4 linked regions of the Mus musculus genome follow. The protein of the gene in region 2 interacts with the protein of the main gene of each other region in a biochemical or structural test. Links are inferred from orthologs where the notes say so. Each region holds a gene or a part of one and is shown on either strand. Other genes may lie near its edges.

The links.
Region 1: of the proteins of Trim21 (region 2) and Ikbkb, one has a biochemical effect on the other in vitro, tested with the Homo sapiens proteins (2 studies listed by BioGRID). The link is inferred for Mus musculus from reciprocal best matches to the Homo sapiens genes TRIM21 and IKBKB.
Region 3: the proteins of Trim21 (region 2) and Ube2w are reported together in a solved structure, tested with the Homo sapiens proteins (2 studies listed by BioGRID, with this or other methods). The link is inferred for Mus musculus from reciprocal best matches to the Homo sapiens genes TRIM21 and UBE2W.
Region 4: of the proteins of Trim21 (region 2) and Usp4, one has a biochemical effect on the other in vitro, tested with the Homo sapiens proteins (2 studies listed by BioGRID). The link is inferred for Mus musculus from reciprocal best matches to the Homo sapiens genes TRIM21 and USP4.

Annotation. Positions count from the first base shown.
Region 1 is NC_000074.6:22,665,084-22,668,583, forward strand, and holds part of Ikbkb (inhibitor of nuclear factor kappa-B kinase subunit beta), read right to left. Parts: intron 2,297-3,500; exon of another isoform or gene 2,278-2,296; coding exon of another isoform or gene 2,269-2,277; exon of another isoform or gene 2,251-2,268; coding exon 2,141-2,250; intron 958-2,140; coding exon 908-957; intron 829-907; coding exon 729-828; intron 554-728; coding exon 406-553; intron 1-405.
Region 2 is NC_000073.6:102,562,683-102,566,704, forward strand, and holds the start of Trim21 (E3 ubiquitin-protein ligase TRIM21), read right to left. Parts: upstream 2,801-4,022; 5' UTR 2,707-2,800; intron 1,659-2,706; 5' UTR 1,590-1,658; intron 1,444-1,589; 5' UTR 1,408-1,443; coding exon 1,012-1,407; intron 680-1,011; coding exon 584-679; intron 1-583. UniProt on the Homo sapiens protein: E3 ubiquitin-protein ligase whose activity is dependent on E2 enzymes, UBE2D1, UBE2D2, UBE2E1 and UBE2E2.
Region 3 is NC_000067.6:16,595,292-16,598,791, forward strand, and holds part of Ube2w (ubiquitin-conjugating enzyme E2 W), read right to left. Parts: intron 2,763-3,500; coding exon 2,660-2,762; intron 2,652-2,659; exon of another isoform or gene 1-2,651. UniProt on the Homo sapiens protein: Accepts ubiquitin from the E1 complex and catalyzes its covalent attachment to other proteins.
Region 4 is NC_000075.6:108,354,331-108,357,830, reverse strand, and holds part of Usp4 (ubiquitin carboxyl-terminal hydrolase 4), read right to left. Parts: intron 1,421-3,500; coding exon 1,290-1,420; intron 1-1,289.

The DNA of each region.
Region 1 (3,500 bases), on a different chromosome or scaffold from region 2:
CACAGGGCAGACATCTTTTAGCTGAGATTCATCTCTAGCTCTGAATGTCTTACACGACACATTCAGATGAGACCCTGGTGTCAACTGAAGACACAGATACAGGTGAGGAGCCGCTGTGGGGGTGGGGTGGAGGTGGCTTTGCCCTAGATCCATCAGAAGAGATACCATTTTGCTGACAACTGGATTCTTAACCTCTGGTCTCTGAAGCTCTGAAAGAACAATGTCTGCTGCCTGGAGCTCCTTGTGGTACGTACAGTAGCCACGTGGGCAGTAAAAACACTCACATAAACCCTCCCTTCCGGAACCCTCCCTGCCCACTCCATGCCACAGGTCAGCCTGTGCCTCCTTGGAGGGCCATGGCAGTGCGTGGGGAGGAGACCTGAGAGGCCGGAGTAAGTCACTCACACAGGCGATCTTCAGGAGGTTCCAGAGTTCCTTCTGCCGCTTCTCCTGAAGCCGGACCACGGTCCTCTCGTCCTCGTTCATAAGGCTCACTACCTCTTCTACCTTGGGCAGCAACTCCAGTGCCTTCTGCTTACAAACCACGGTCTTACTGTAAGGACAGAGAGAGCCACACTCCCGAGAGCTCTGGGCCAGCACAGAGCTGTTCCCAATTAGGATCGGTTCTTCACTGTGTAGGCAAGGCAGAGCAGAGCGAGGGCATCCATCTGCCCCTTGTCTTTGCTTGATTCTCCATCCTGTCCTGGAGGAGGCGAGGGAGTGCCTACCTGAGCTGTGTATAAATCACCCGAACTTTCTTCTCAAAGCTTTGGATTGCCTGAAGCAGCAGCCGTACCATCTCCTGGCTGTCACCTTCTGTCCTTTGGTCTGCAGAGGGGAGTGGCATAGTTCCTCCTACTGGCCTCCAGGGTAGACCAGTGTCTCAAAGACAAGACAAAGCATGTACCTCTTGGCTTCTCCCTGAGTCTTCGGTAGAGCTCCCTCGCTTGTTCCTCTCTGGAAGAGGGAAGGCCAGAGTCAAGGCACACCAAGGACATTTAAGCACCAGCCTGCTAACTCTTGCCAGCGGATCACTACTCTTTAGACTACTGGTCATATGCTCTCAATGGGAATAAAACCTGCCAGTTATGGTAATATTTATAAAACCCAAATGCCACAAACGAGAACAGCCTTAAAGATTACAGTCCTCTTCTGCTTAGCTACAAGAGTGATTCAAGGTCACTCTTGGTCACCATTTCTGGACCTGACCAAGAAAATACTTGCCCTCAAAAGCCTAAGTCCAAAGCTAGACATGAAGGCCTATTTCTTCCTCTAACACAGGCAGGCTGGCAACAGCCTCAGAAGGAGGCTCTAACTGATCTCGGTTGCACACACAGGAAGCTGAGGTAGTAGGATTTCTGTGAATTTGAGGCAAGTCTTGACTCCCTAGCGAGCACAAGGTCTGGAATACTATGGAGTGAGACCCTGTTTTGGAACAAAGAACACCTGCACACACATGTGCACACACGGACATCCATATACGCATGTGCACAAAGTGCAGATTTTCATTTGGAAACTTGAAGAACGAGTAAAGGGTTACTGTATAAGAGACAATGGAGAACAAATAATTCTTTGTTTTCAGATGTCTCACCCTAAGAATTCTAGTAAGAGCATCAGGTGACACTGATCCCTTCAGGTGACAGGGCCCTTAAACTGACCCACCTGCCTAGAGCCCTCTGTGAGCACACAGGGCAGCATGCTAGGGTCTCCAGGCAGGATGGATCTGCTTGGTGCCCTGACTCCTCTTGGACACAGTGCCAAACTCTTGGACTCGGTGGGCTCCTCCCTCAGTTCTACTTCCTGCTCTGGGAGCCACACCTAGAGCGCTGGGCTGTCTGAGCAGGGACGTCTGCTACCACAGACACGTGCTCGTGTGTGTGTGTGTGTGTGTGTGTGTGAGCATGTGTGTGTGTGTTTCACAACCTTTAAAAGTTATCAGCTGGCTCCTCCCACTCTGGGAGGACACCTTTCCTTGTCACTTCACAGGGACAAGGCTCAAAGTGACAGCCATTTGTCACAACTTATCCTAGAGAATGAGCCAAAGTGATTCACTAGGAGCTATACCCCACAGAACCTCCTGAAACTCTACAGGGTGTCAATGTGCTCTGTGTCAGTGTCGCCCCTCCCCAGTTATACTCACAGGTCATCCAGGGTGCCCCCCTGCTTCCGACCCATCGGGCTCCTCTGCAGGTCCACAATGTCAGTCTGCAGTGCCATCATCCGCTCTACTAGATGCTTCACGTCATTCTCCTGATGGGAAAGCTGTGCTCATGCCACCTGATGGACAGAGGGCATCCTGGGAGGACAGATGGGATGGGCAGGCTGGGGAGACCCTCAGCTGACTGGCTAGAAGGCATGTGTGTTCAGGAATAAGTTGCTCCAAGCTTGGATCTCATGGCTACCACTTTCTAGCGTGAGACCCTCAAAAGTTCCTTAACTGTAAGCCAGTTTCCCCTGCTAGAAGCAAACTTTCAACAGGGCTTAACGGCATAGGTAAAACCAATAGAATAAGCTCACTGTCGGGCAGAGATGATGTCCAGTGCAGATTATTGTCTTCTTTTACTGTGTCTACCAAAAGCGGGTGCTAAAGCTGACTATCAAACTGGCGAGGAAGACACACAGTTCTTCAGAATTAGACAAAAGGAACTACATACAGGGCGAACATCTTTGAATAAGATGCATCACTGTGACTGTATGCATATGCTCATGCGTGTGTATGTGTGTGTGTGTGCTGGCATCTGCGTACCACAGTGCCTATGTGTGTGGCGGCTGGAGAACACTTTCAGGAGTGGAGTGTCTCGTTCTGTGTTTCTGAGGCAAGTCCTTCTTGTTGGTTCTGACACATTGTGTACTTCAGAGGGGTTGGCCTGTGAGCTTCCAGCAACTCTCGTCTCTGCCTCCCATCTCGCTGGAGGAACACTGAGACTGCAGGTGCATGCTATTATCAGCTTTTTAAAAGGTGGGTTCTGGACATCAGACTCAAGTCATCAGGCGTAAAGGAGCAAGCACCTTTACCCACTGAGCCTTTGACTGGCCTCATGTCCATGTACCTTTAGGTAAGTGTTGACCTACTAGGTCTCATTTACAGTTACATACTAGGACCCGGAGGAAAAGGCCCTGTCCAGTGCACAGGAATTGGAGCGGGAGAAGCTCTGGCAGGCGGGGTCTTGGATCTGTGCATGATGCCTCACGTTACACTTCTCTAGCCTTGTGAAGAGGAGTCTGAAATGGTGCCTAAGGCATACTATCCTGAGACTTCTGCTTAGACCCTTTCTTCCTTACAGATTCCATGCTTTGGCAAGTTTGGGAGGAAACCCTGTGAGGCGGGAGCAGGAAACCTTGACTCTCCCAAGGGCACCTGACACTTCTTTACTAAATCCGGAGCAACTCTGCCCAGCTCTCAGGTCTGGGCATAGCGGGGCTCTCTCGTCTCTCTATGCTGCGTCCGTCCAGCAAGTCAGGTTAGGGTCAGAGGATGTGTTGAGGAAATGCTCAGTTTG
Region 2 (4,022 bases):
TCAAGTTTTTGCTACTCATTTGGGGTCTGTGATTGGCTGTGAGCCTCTCATTCCTACCCAGTTTCAGATGCATTTCATTTTCTACCAGCAAATTCTCACTGTGACAGGCTTTAGGTCCCTAGCAGGCTTTGGACTAATAACTTGCTCACCATCAAGCAGCCACCAGGTCAGGTGGACTTCCTATCACAGACCCAAGAAACTAATGTTGACTATGCTGTTCCCTGAGACAGGGTCAGAAGGAATGACGAAACCTTAAACTTTCTCCAGAAATTCTTGATATTTGTGCCAGATTGGGGAAAATCCCATCTGATTTTAAGCTTCCTTCTTTCCTCTTCCCTCCCTCCCTTCTGCCTCCCTTCATCCCTGACTCTCTTCTATCCCTCCCTCCTTCCTTTCCTTCTCTCTTTCCTTCTCCTCTCTTCCTTCCTTTCTTTCAATTCCTCTCTATCTGGAGTCACAGTGTGTGGATGGGTCTTGGAGAGTGACCTATATAATAACTCTACCGCCCCTTGGATAGGCACAGTCATGGTTAAGGCTTGCTTGAGGTCAAGACCTGGGACACAGCCCAGCCTACAGCTCTTGCCTTCCAGTCTGTTCTTTGCATCGTGAGATCCATTTCCATCTTCTCGGCCAACTCTTTCCCCTTTCTCAGTTTTTCTAAAGCCACGTGGATCTTCTCCTGTAGAAAAAGATGGCAGGTTAGTCCCCAGGTTGGAGGAGGCAGATGGAAAGACTATGGAAGAAATCTAGTATGTCTTAACAAAAACAGAGTTACACCAATGGGTAACGGGATCTGGGCCACTGCATTTCTAATGTACCCGGGAGCCACGAGGAAGCACGATGCATGACTCCTTTCCCATGGCTTTGCCTCTGCTGCTGAGAAATAAAGTTGTATTCCATACACAAGCTCCTCTCAATGAAGGGAGAAATTATCCCTTCATCCCCCAACTTCTCAGCCACCATTCTGGGGGACAAAGTGGCTATGTTCTTTAGTCTGTGCTAAGGCCTTACCTGGTATACCTTAGCAGCCTCTTCAATAGGGACCCTGGTGTGGTCCCGGTGTTTCCCAGACTGGGCACACACCCAGCAAAGGGCCTGCCCATCTTCCTCACAGAATAGGTGAAGCTTCTCTCCATGCTTCATGCAGTGCGTTTCCTGGGTACTCTTCTTGGTATTCTGGGCTATCTGTTTAAGGTTTTCCACCATGTTGGCTATATGTCTATTGGGCCTGAGGTTTCGGAGCAGAAACTGTTGCCGGCACTCGGGACATGAACTGCCCCCATTCTTCCCAACTTCAAAAATGCATTCCTTGCAAAAGCAATGGCCACATTCGATACTCATAGGCTCCACCATGGGATCCAGGCAGATAGAACAGGTGACCTCCTCCCACATCTTTTCCAGAGACATTTTTGAGGTTGTAGAGGGTGATATCTGCCGTGGAATCTTGAGAGATGCAGAGGGGCGAAGAGATAAAAATGAGAGTTTGTAGGACAAAAGCAAAAGCAAGGCAAACCCCAAACTCCCCCAAATAATGCCAAGGTGGACAAGCGATGACACAGGAGGGAAAGGCAGAAGGCAAAAGCACCAACCTGAATGACAGGAGCCTCTCCTCCGGCCTCACCCACTGAGCAAGCCAGGCAGAAGGGGAAACCGAGTTTCTAGAAGAGACAGAGAAAACTGGTGGGGGTAACGCTGCTAACAGCTCCACCGTCACCACACCCATCCCTGCTTAACCCTCACTGTCTAGGCGTCTCCCATTTCCTTTCTGTCATCTTATGCCTCTACTGCCCAGAGACGTCAGTCATGGCAGTAACGACCATTTACCATATCACCACAGACCCTCCATATTCCAACCAGAGTTAGCTCATACTAGTCTTCATTAATCTTGGCAGAAACCACAGGGGTCAGGCATTAGGAGTCAAGGTTTATGCAGCTATACATCATAGTAGACATTTTGTCAAATATGACAGGCTGCACATATGGTGGTTGTGCAATAGGCAACACAATGCAGCCTAGGTGTGTCATTAGCGACCCCACTCAGGTTCATGTAAGATGTCATTCATTATCCGGAGTACATTGTCTAAGAGTATATGGCCCAGTTATAAGAGTTGCATGTGTGTATATGCATGTTTTTATATATGTATGTACACATATATTGATGTTTTTATATGCAAACTATACTTGTGCACAAATGCATCAATGTAGGCGTGCCCATATGTTCCCCTCTATAAATGTCTATGTACATAACATGCAGGTGTGCTCACCGGTGAACATTTTTGGGGAGCACTCCCTGGGCTCTTCTCTAAGCTGCTCCAAACCTAGTCTCAACTTCCTTTAGGGTGTGGAGTATCTTAAATCCACAGAAATTTCTACATGGATAGCACTCTCCTCAAGCAGGGATCTTCAAGGGGTAAGGGTTTCCCTGAGCTCCCCTCTGGCCTAGGTCACCACCCTGCTTCTCCTGCCCTTGCTAGGACTGTCGTCTCAGCTAGTCCAGGGCACTAGGAAAGTCACTTTCAGAGCCCAGCTTCCACAGGCCAGCATGGGCAGCTCTGCAGGGCTAGGACAAGACAACTCTGATGAAAAGAAGCAGCAGGTGGGTTCGCAAATTCCCGAGTGTGGGGTGCTGATGGGAAGAGGCTCCTTGAATCTGGTGTGGGGATAAAGAGCCCACCTAGGCCGGCCAGGGGTCCCAGTCTCACTCACCTAACCAGGGTCCTCAGCTTTAGTTATGTGCTCCCAGCTTCGCTTTTGCAAGCCTGCAGTCCAAATTTCACTTTCAGTTTCCTCTCAGAGGCAGGTCTAGCAGGAAGAGGGAGGAGCAAGGGGAGGAGTGAGGAGTTGAGTGGCAAGAGGAGGTTAGAGGCAGAGAAGGCGGAGGCTGGGCGGAGACTGGGCAGAGACAGGGCAGAGAGTGGGAGGAGAGAGGTCAGAGGTGCAAGAAACTGACTCCTGGCCACAGGCAGGGAAAAAACTCAGTACCTGTCCTCCTGGGTCTCTCTAAGGCCCCCTTGTCCCCTTTAACAGAATGTAATCTACAGGATATCGATCTTTGACACTGGTCTTTTCTTCTTACCTGGGAGCTTCTGAGAGAAGAGGTCTGAATGGGAGAGGGAGGAGTCACCATCTGTTTCCTACAGGGATGGATAGCTTCCCCCAAGACTGATCCCGCCACCGTCACTGTTTTTTATTAGTATATATTAATTGTACAGAGTACTTGAAGTATACCCATTTCCCACCACTCTGTTGTGTGATTTTGCTCTTTTCAAATAGTTTGGGGCTAGAAATTTATTCTTTATGATGTCAAGGTATGTGTTGTACCAGTGAAGGGAGTTAAGACTTATGGACAATTGATATTGTATTATAACTTGCGCTAAAAACAGCAGTGGAATTTTCCTCGCTATTTATTATATTTAGGAAACAAAACCATTCTGTGATTTGAAATTTCTAGTCCTGTTTAAGAGATCTCTCTTAGTGAAAGGCCGCCAGGCAACATCTACTGTCTAGATTGTGCTGTTGTACTGGGGCTTGGTTCCTGGAGCACAACAGTCCTAGAAAGCAGAATGAAAAAGAGTCAAGCATCCGAAAGGACGAAGACATCTATAAACATCAGAAAACGACTCTGCTTCTACCACGGAAGGTCTGCTGCTATTTCCTGCAGGCAAAGAACTTGGGTCCCAAAATAAGGCAGAGGGTAGAGTCAATGTCTATTTTGCTATTCACCACCAGAGGATGCTCTGTTTCAGTTTACACACTGGATAGAGAGATTAATGCACACCCTAGGGGTGTGCTGATATATACTCTATAATGTGCACACAGGACTACTAACATATTGTACTCAGAGCTGCCTCAGCTCCCACCTTGGTAATTGTTTGAAGACCCCACCTACTGAAGACCCAAACTCCCTTCACTCACAGATAGTACTTTGATATTTCAAACTTCCCTCTCCCTGACAAAATGACCCAAGTCTTTATTTGGGAAGAATTAATGCTATTGATATTATTGTCTAGCACATTATTAGT
Region 3 (3,500 bases), on a different chromosome or scaffold from region 2:
ACTTTATACCCAAGGTAAAGACTTGCTTCCACAGGAAATAATCATTCACAGATTTTACTAAGAAAGGCAAAAAGAAGGCAAGGGTATGGGAGGGCGTGGGACATGTGTATATACATAGAGAGTGGGGGGGGGTGGAAAGGGAGCAAGTATAAGGTTTTGATTCTAGCACTGTGAAAAGGTATATAACACAAGTATAAACTAATGAAACATTATCCTATTGAAACAGCCCAGCTGGAAGATAATTCCTTGTTCTACAGTCCAAATCCTAAGATAAGAGAAATGGACTGGCTTAAAGATTGCAAAAAGATTGAAAAACTGTATCTAGGAATACATGAAAGCAGACAATTTAAAACAAAACAGAAGGTAAACAGAAACCCAACATATACAAGAATTTTTTTTCTATTTCATTACTGTAAACGATTAAGTTTGGATGCATTAAATCTGAAATGTCATTAGGGCTTAGTGGCACATGCCCTTAATCCCAGCACTCAGGAGGTAGAGGCAGGCGGATCTCAGTGAGTTGTGAGGCCAGCACCGTCTGCATAGTGAGTTCCAGAAAAGCCAGGGCTACACAGAGAAACACTCACTTTCTTGGGGGAGGAAAAACATTGGTATCCAAAAGACTTATGAAATTTTAGAAAGGTATGTACCCACAGCAGTGATCTAAATCAGCTGTTTAATTTATCTTAATATTAAAGAATGAAATATTGCTGAATAATAAATCTGAAATTATTAAAAATCAAAGGAGCAGGAAGAAAAGGAGAGAATAAATTTATTATAAATGGTGATTTGTAAATATTTAAATTTGATATCTGATTTTGAATAAAGGACTAAAGACGGAATTTGCAGAATGCTTTTTGACTTAGTTTTATGTTTATAGAAATACTATTTTCGTATGATAAAAAAAAAAATCTGTTCCTTCCAGAATCCTCACTAAGTTGAAGGCAGTGTCTTAGGGTTTCTACCCCTGCACAAACATCATGAACAAGAAGTAAATTGGGGAGGAAAGGGTTTATTCAGCTTACACTTCCCAGTTTCCTGTTCATCACCAAAGAAAGTCAGGACAGGAAGCAGGAGCTGATGCAGAGGCCATGGAGGGATGTTCCTTACTGGCTTGCTTCCCCTGGCTTGCTCAGCCTGCTCTCTTATAGAACCCAAGACTGCCAGCCCAGAGATGGTCCCACCCACAAGGGGCCTTTCCCCCTTGATCACTAATTGAGAAAATGTCTTGCAGCTGGATCTCATGGAGGCATTTCCTCAACTGAAGCTCCTTTCTCTGTGATAACCCCAGCTGTGTCAAGTTGACACCCAAAACCAGCCAGTACAGGTAGAAATAGCTAAGGGCACAAAGGTGAAGGATCTCAGATATTAGAGAAAGTAAATCTTCTTATTCCTATTCTTAGTGAGAAGGGAGATGGCTGTGCTTGTGACTAACAGACGCCTTTATAGTGACAGGTCATGGCAGCAGATCCCCTCACTTCACAGCTCTATAAAAATGGTCAAAGGAGCCTTAAGGCTTAACTTTTTGTTCATAGGACAACTTTGTAATTCAAGGAGTATTTAGTTAATCCTACCTCTTTATACAATTCCCTTTATAGCATAATGCAATAACTAATGTCCTTTATTTTCTCTTGTGGCCAAAACAATACTTAAGGTAAATTTAGAATATTAATTTGAAGGTGACAATGAAATATGACTTTACTCAAAATAGCACATTTCCACATAATCATATACCAAGTTGAATTTTAGGTACTGGTTTATTTTCCAGAAGACTTCATTACTTAGCAGTAACACAGAGGGTTGGCAGGGTTTCATTTTAGCAACACACCTCACAAAGCTTAAAATGTGAAATCTTATAATTTGTGGAGAATAAATAATTCAAGTAACTCACTGTCTTACAAGTCAGGAACCTGGAGATCATCCCAGAATCTCCCCCTCTCTAACATCCAATTAATTATTTACTAGTTAAATACCTCTTAAAAACATCCCCTGGGGCTGGAGAGAGCCCAACTGTTAGCAGCACTTGTTCTCCAGAGAACCCAGGTTCAATTTCAGCACTCACATGGCTGCTCACATCCAACATCGTCTTCTGACCTCCCAGGACATCAGGCACACATGTGGGGCACAGACGGACATGGAGGCAAAACCACTAGCACACAAAGCCCCTCCACAAGAAAGGTTTGCTTTTAATTCCACTACCAGCATTTTTCCTTGTCTAAGTATTAAACTATTAACTAAACTGCGTTTGCTTCAAACCATAATCATCAGATTTCAGTTGACTTCATGTATTTGACATCTGTAAACACACACTTGTTTTTAAAGACTGCAAAGAAAACACATCAATAGAAAACCAAAGGCAGTCCTAAAAGAGCCTTTATTGGTGTGGTCAGTGGTTCTAGAAAAGAGTCCCTGCAGCTATTACAAACGGTAACCTTCCCCATTGCTCATGAAACCCATGGATGACAAACCACTTGAAGCTCCTGGTAGCATGACAGATCAAAAGCCTCTGTCCCAATAAAATTCACAAAATCCTGACTTATGTAAAGATAGTTCTATCTACATATTTATATTGGGTTTGTGATATAGGTCTAGCTAGGCAAAAATAACCAATTTAGTGTTTTGCTATACTCTAAAAACACAATGGTACATGCAAGGTTACCTGAGGAGAGTCAAAAGGGTATCGACTACTAAATTTAAACAAAAGTTGAAATTTTTCCCCTTCATATAAGGTTCCTGGTGCACCTTCCATGTCTACGATCCACCTAAGGCAGGAAAAAGAAAAAAGGAAACAGATTTAAAACTTAAATGAAAAGGATTGAAATGAAGGGGAAAAGAGAACACTGTCCTGCCAGGCACTGGGCAGAGCAACCAGAGGGTAGTGCTGCACTTCACTCAGCAACTCTCATACTGCATTTTTCTCTTTGTAGAGAACTTTTAAAATGTATCATTATTGTGTATACTATGTATGATTGGGTAAATGTATTATTGTTGTATGGGGTGGAGCACTCACAACCACAGCATACAACATGCAGCTTTTTGACCCTTTCCTTCCACCTCTATGTGGGTTCATATATTGAACACAGGTCACTACCTTGTGTTTTGTTTTAATCTTTCTGGCCTTCAGAGCAGGGTTGTCTGTCTGTCTGGTGTGTGTGTGTGTGTGTGTGTGTGTGTACTAGGATCAGGACGATACACACCCTCTTACCTGCTGAGCTATCTCTCTAACTCCATAGTAATAACCTCTTTCCTATCCTTCTGTGACACTCTAGATTAAAGAAATCAGGTCAAGGTCAGAACCAGGCTTGTAAGTCAGATCTGAAACAAACTACAAATAACAAACAAATAAAAGCTCCAACATATGCTAATATCAGGGTCCATACTGGGCTCTTCCTTTCAGATCACACAATCTTATTTTCTTTCAAAACACTACTTTCTATATTAATGAAAACCTTTTTAGACAGTATCCTCAACCTCTTTCCTATCCTTCTGTGACACTCTAG
Region 4 (3,500 bases), on a different chromosome or scaffold from region 2:
TTTCTAGTAAGAAAAGCTAGTAGCTGAGAGACAAGGCAGTGATCTCATGTGTTCTGTCCACCAAAGGCACAAAGCTGTGTGTCTCAGTGTGAGAACTTGAGAAGTTCTCCTATGCATATAAACACCTACGTTTTTACTACTCAGCAGTACAATCAGACTCATGAGCACAGGGGAAATGGCTTTAGAAAAGTTGTTAGAGGGCTGGAGAGATGGCTCAGTGGTTAAGAGCACTGACTTCTTCCAGAGGTCCTGAATTCAAATCCCAGCAACCACATGGTGGCTCACAACCATCCATAATGAGATCTGCCGCCCTCTTCTGGAGTGCCTGAAGACAACAACAGTGTACTTTAATAAATAAATAAATCTAAAAAGAAAGAAAGAAAGAAAGAAAGAAAGAAAGAAAGAAAGAAAGAAAAGAAAAGAAAAGAAAAGAAAAGAAAAGAAAAGAAAAGAAAAGAAAAGAAAAAGAAAAAGAAAAAGAGAAGTTGTTAGGTAAGCATGGTGGCTCACACTAGTTATCTCAACATCCAGGAGCCTCAATGAAAAGGCTCAAAATGGTCAAAGTTCTAGGCCTACTTGAGCTATAAGTGAGTTCAAATTTGGCCTGGTTAACTCAGTACAACACCATCTCAAAGAAAAAAAAAAGAGGGCTGGATATAGCTCAGTGCTAGGACACTCAGTGAGTCATGTATTCTATTCGGCCCTAGGTTCACTCCCAGTCCTGGGGAAAAGGAAGCGGTGCAAGGTGCAATGCATTCGATTATGTCCACACAGCCCAACTGAAGAGCTGGGTTCCAAGTACTATGGGCATTCCAAACCAGCAGGCAGCTCTTGTATTTGGAGGCCACTTAGGAACATCCTGAGTTACTCACAAATACTTCATATCCCAGAGAGAAGTAGAATAGTCATTCAGGCCAAAATTCCAGCATACAAGAGGCAGGAGATGACCAGAACAAGACCAGCCCGGGATACACAGAGATCCTGTCTCAGGAAACATAAACAAGGTCTAAAGCCTGGTACATCTTTAATCTCAGTACTTAGGGATCTCTGAGTTTGAGGCTGGTTTGGGCTACATAGAAAGTTCCAGAACTACTTACTAGTAAGGGATACTCAGAAAAACCCTGTTTCAAAAACAAAAACAAACCAAAATCCAAAAACATTACAAAGTCTCACCTGCTTCATTTTCAACCATGTAACCGTTTTCATCCTCCCGGGAAATAAAGAGAAGTCAGTGTACCCAAGGAGAACTCACATACACACCTAGCAGGTCTAACAACTTGTCAACTCACTTTTCTGACAATAGGCTGCTGGCCCTCCACACAGCCATACCAATTCAGCAATTTATTCCAGGCTTCGGCTGGGACCAGCACATAGTCCAGCTCATCGATTAAGTGCTCCTTCAAGGTCTGACTCTCAGGATCTGAAAAAGGAAATCAGGGCAGATCTCATTTTTCTTTTCCCCAGAAGTTTCTTTTTGTTTGGTTGCTTGTTTTTTGAAACAAGATTCTTATGTATTTTTCATAAGAAAAGATTCAACAGGAACAAGCACAATATTCCAAAACACTGTCACTGGCTACAAAACAAAGCAGACCTGCCCACTCTTTATCCTGAGTCTTGTTCTATGAGGAACTTGTATCTCTTCTATAATGAGAGAAAAGTGAGCTGGAGTCCGTGGTTCATCCTCATAGTCTCCACTACGCAGGAAGCTGAGGAGGAATAGGTTAAGCCCCGAAGTTCAAGGTCAGCTTGGGCAACACAGCTAGACTCCATGTCAAAAAGAACAAGGAGGAAGGATGGAGAGGAAAGGAGCCTCTCTGTTCATTTTCTTCTTCTGAAGTCAAATGTATTGAAGGTGAACATGGTGGTGCACCCTTTAATCTGAGGACTTGGGAGGCAGTGGTAGGTGGATTTTTGTGAATTTAGAGTCAGCCTGGTCTATGTAGGAGCTCCAGGACAGCCAAGGATATATAGGGGTAAAAAGTAATTCTAAAATAAAATTTATTGAGCTATATTTTAGCCATATTTTTTGCCTTTCCCCAAGCCCTCCCAAATCCCCTGCCCTACTTGCCCCCTTCTCATTTTTGTCGTCTGTTTTGAGGGTCACATGCAGTACAGCGTGACCTTGAATTCTACACAGCCAAAGATGACCTTTAATTTCTGATCTTCCTGCCTCCACTGCAGAGATGACAGGAAGGAGACTGGAGGGAAAATGAGCCGGGGAGATGGCTCAGCAGGTAAAGGTACTTGCTGCCAAATCCATGAACTTGAGTTCAATAAGAATAGGTTTTTGTTTGGCTTTGTTTTTCAAGACAGGGTTTCTCTGTGTAGCCCTGGCTGTCCTGAAGAAGAGAGTACAATGGCTAATAATTATAAATACTTATAATAGCAATCCTATTGATAGTGCTTGAACTCAGACCCCATCTACACATGAAACATTTACTAAGAAGGCAAATGAATGAGGTGCTGAGGGCTGGGAGGGGGGTGAGGGGTGGGGGTGGGTAGGGTATTTTCTTCCCAAGCAACCATGCCCACAGCCCTCAGTTCAATTCCCAGCAACCTCATGGTGGCTCACAACCATCTGTAATGGGATTTGATTCCCTCTTCTGGTGTGTCTGAAGACAGCTTCAGTGTACTCATATACATAAAACAAATAACCTTTAAAAAAAAAAAAGAGTTCTCATGGACACTGTGTGGAATGGAAAGTAAATATGTAACATGTTGAACATGCATTTTACACCCATCACAAAGGTATATGAAACACTCAGCGGAAAATCCAACAAGATTCATCACCTGTCAGCCACAAAGTGTACTCCCTGCTAAGCCTGTTTATCAACACCCACACTGAGGATGACAGAAGTCACTGATCTCAGACCAGTGTAGACAAGAAAGTACCCGTGAAGGTGCAACTCAGCTGTAACCCAAGGCAGATGATTTTTTTTTTTTTTTAAATAGAAACCAGGTGTGATAGCACACACACTTGATTCCTGCACTCAGAAGGTAGAGGCTGGTGCATCCCTGTCGAGTTCCAGACCAGCCAGGTCTATATTGTAACATCTTGTCTCAAGAAGAAAAAGCCGGGCATGGTGGCGCACGCCTTTAATCCCAGAACTCGGGAGGCAGAGGCAGGCGGATTTCTGAGTTGGCGGCCAGCCTGGTCTACAGAGTGAGTTCCAGGACAGCCAGAGCTACACAGAGAAACCCCGTCTCGAAAAACCAAAAAAAAAAAAGAAAAAAAAAGGAGAAGATGACAGGCATGGTGGTAGTATACATCTGTTAACCCTGTGCCTAGCAGACGGGACAGGAGGACCAGGTGCTGCTAGGGTGTCAGCTACAGAAGGAGTTTGAGGACTGGGAACAAGGAGGTTGGAGGTGACTCTCCTGAAGCGCTGTCTCTGACTGTCTCTGGTCTGAAGTCAGTACAGAGATGCTTGATGTAGACCTACAGTCTGACCTACTTCACGTGTACCCGGCCTAGCCTACGTCAGGCTTCAAAGCAAAAC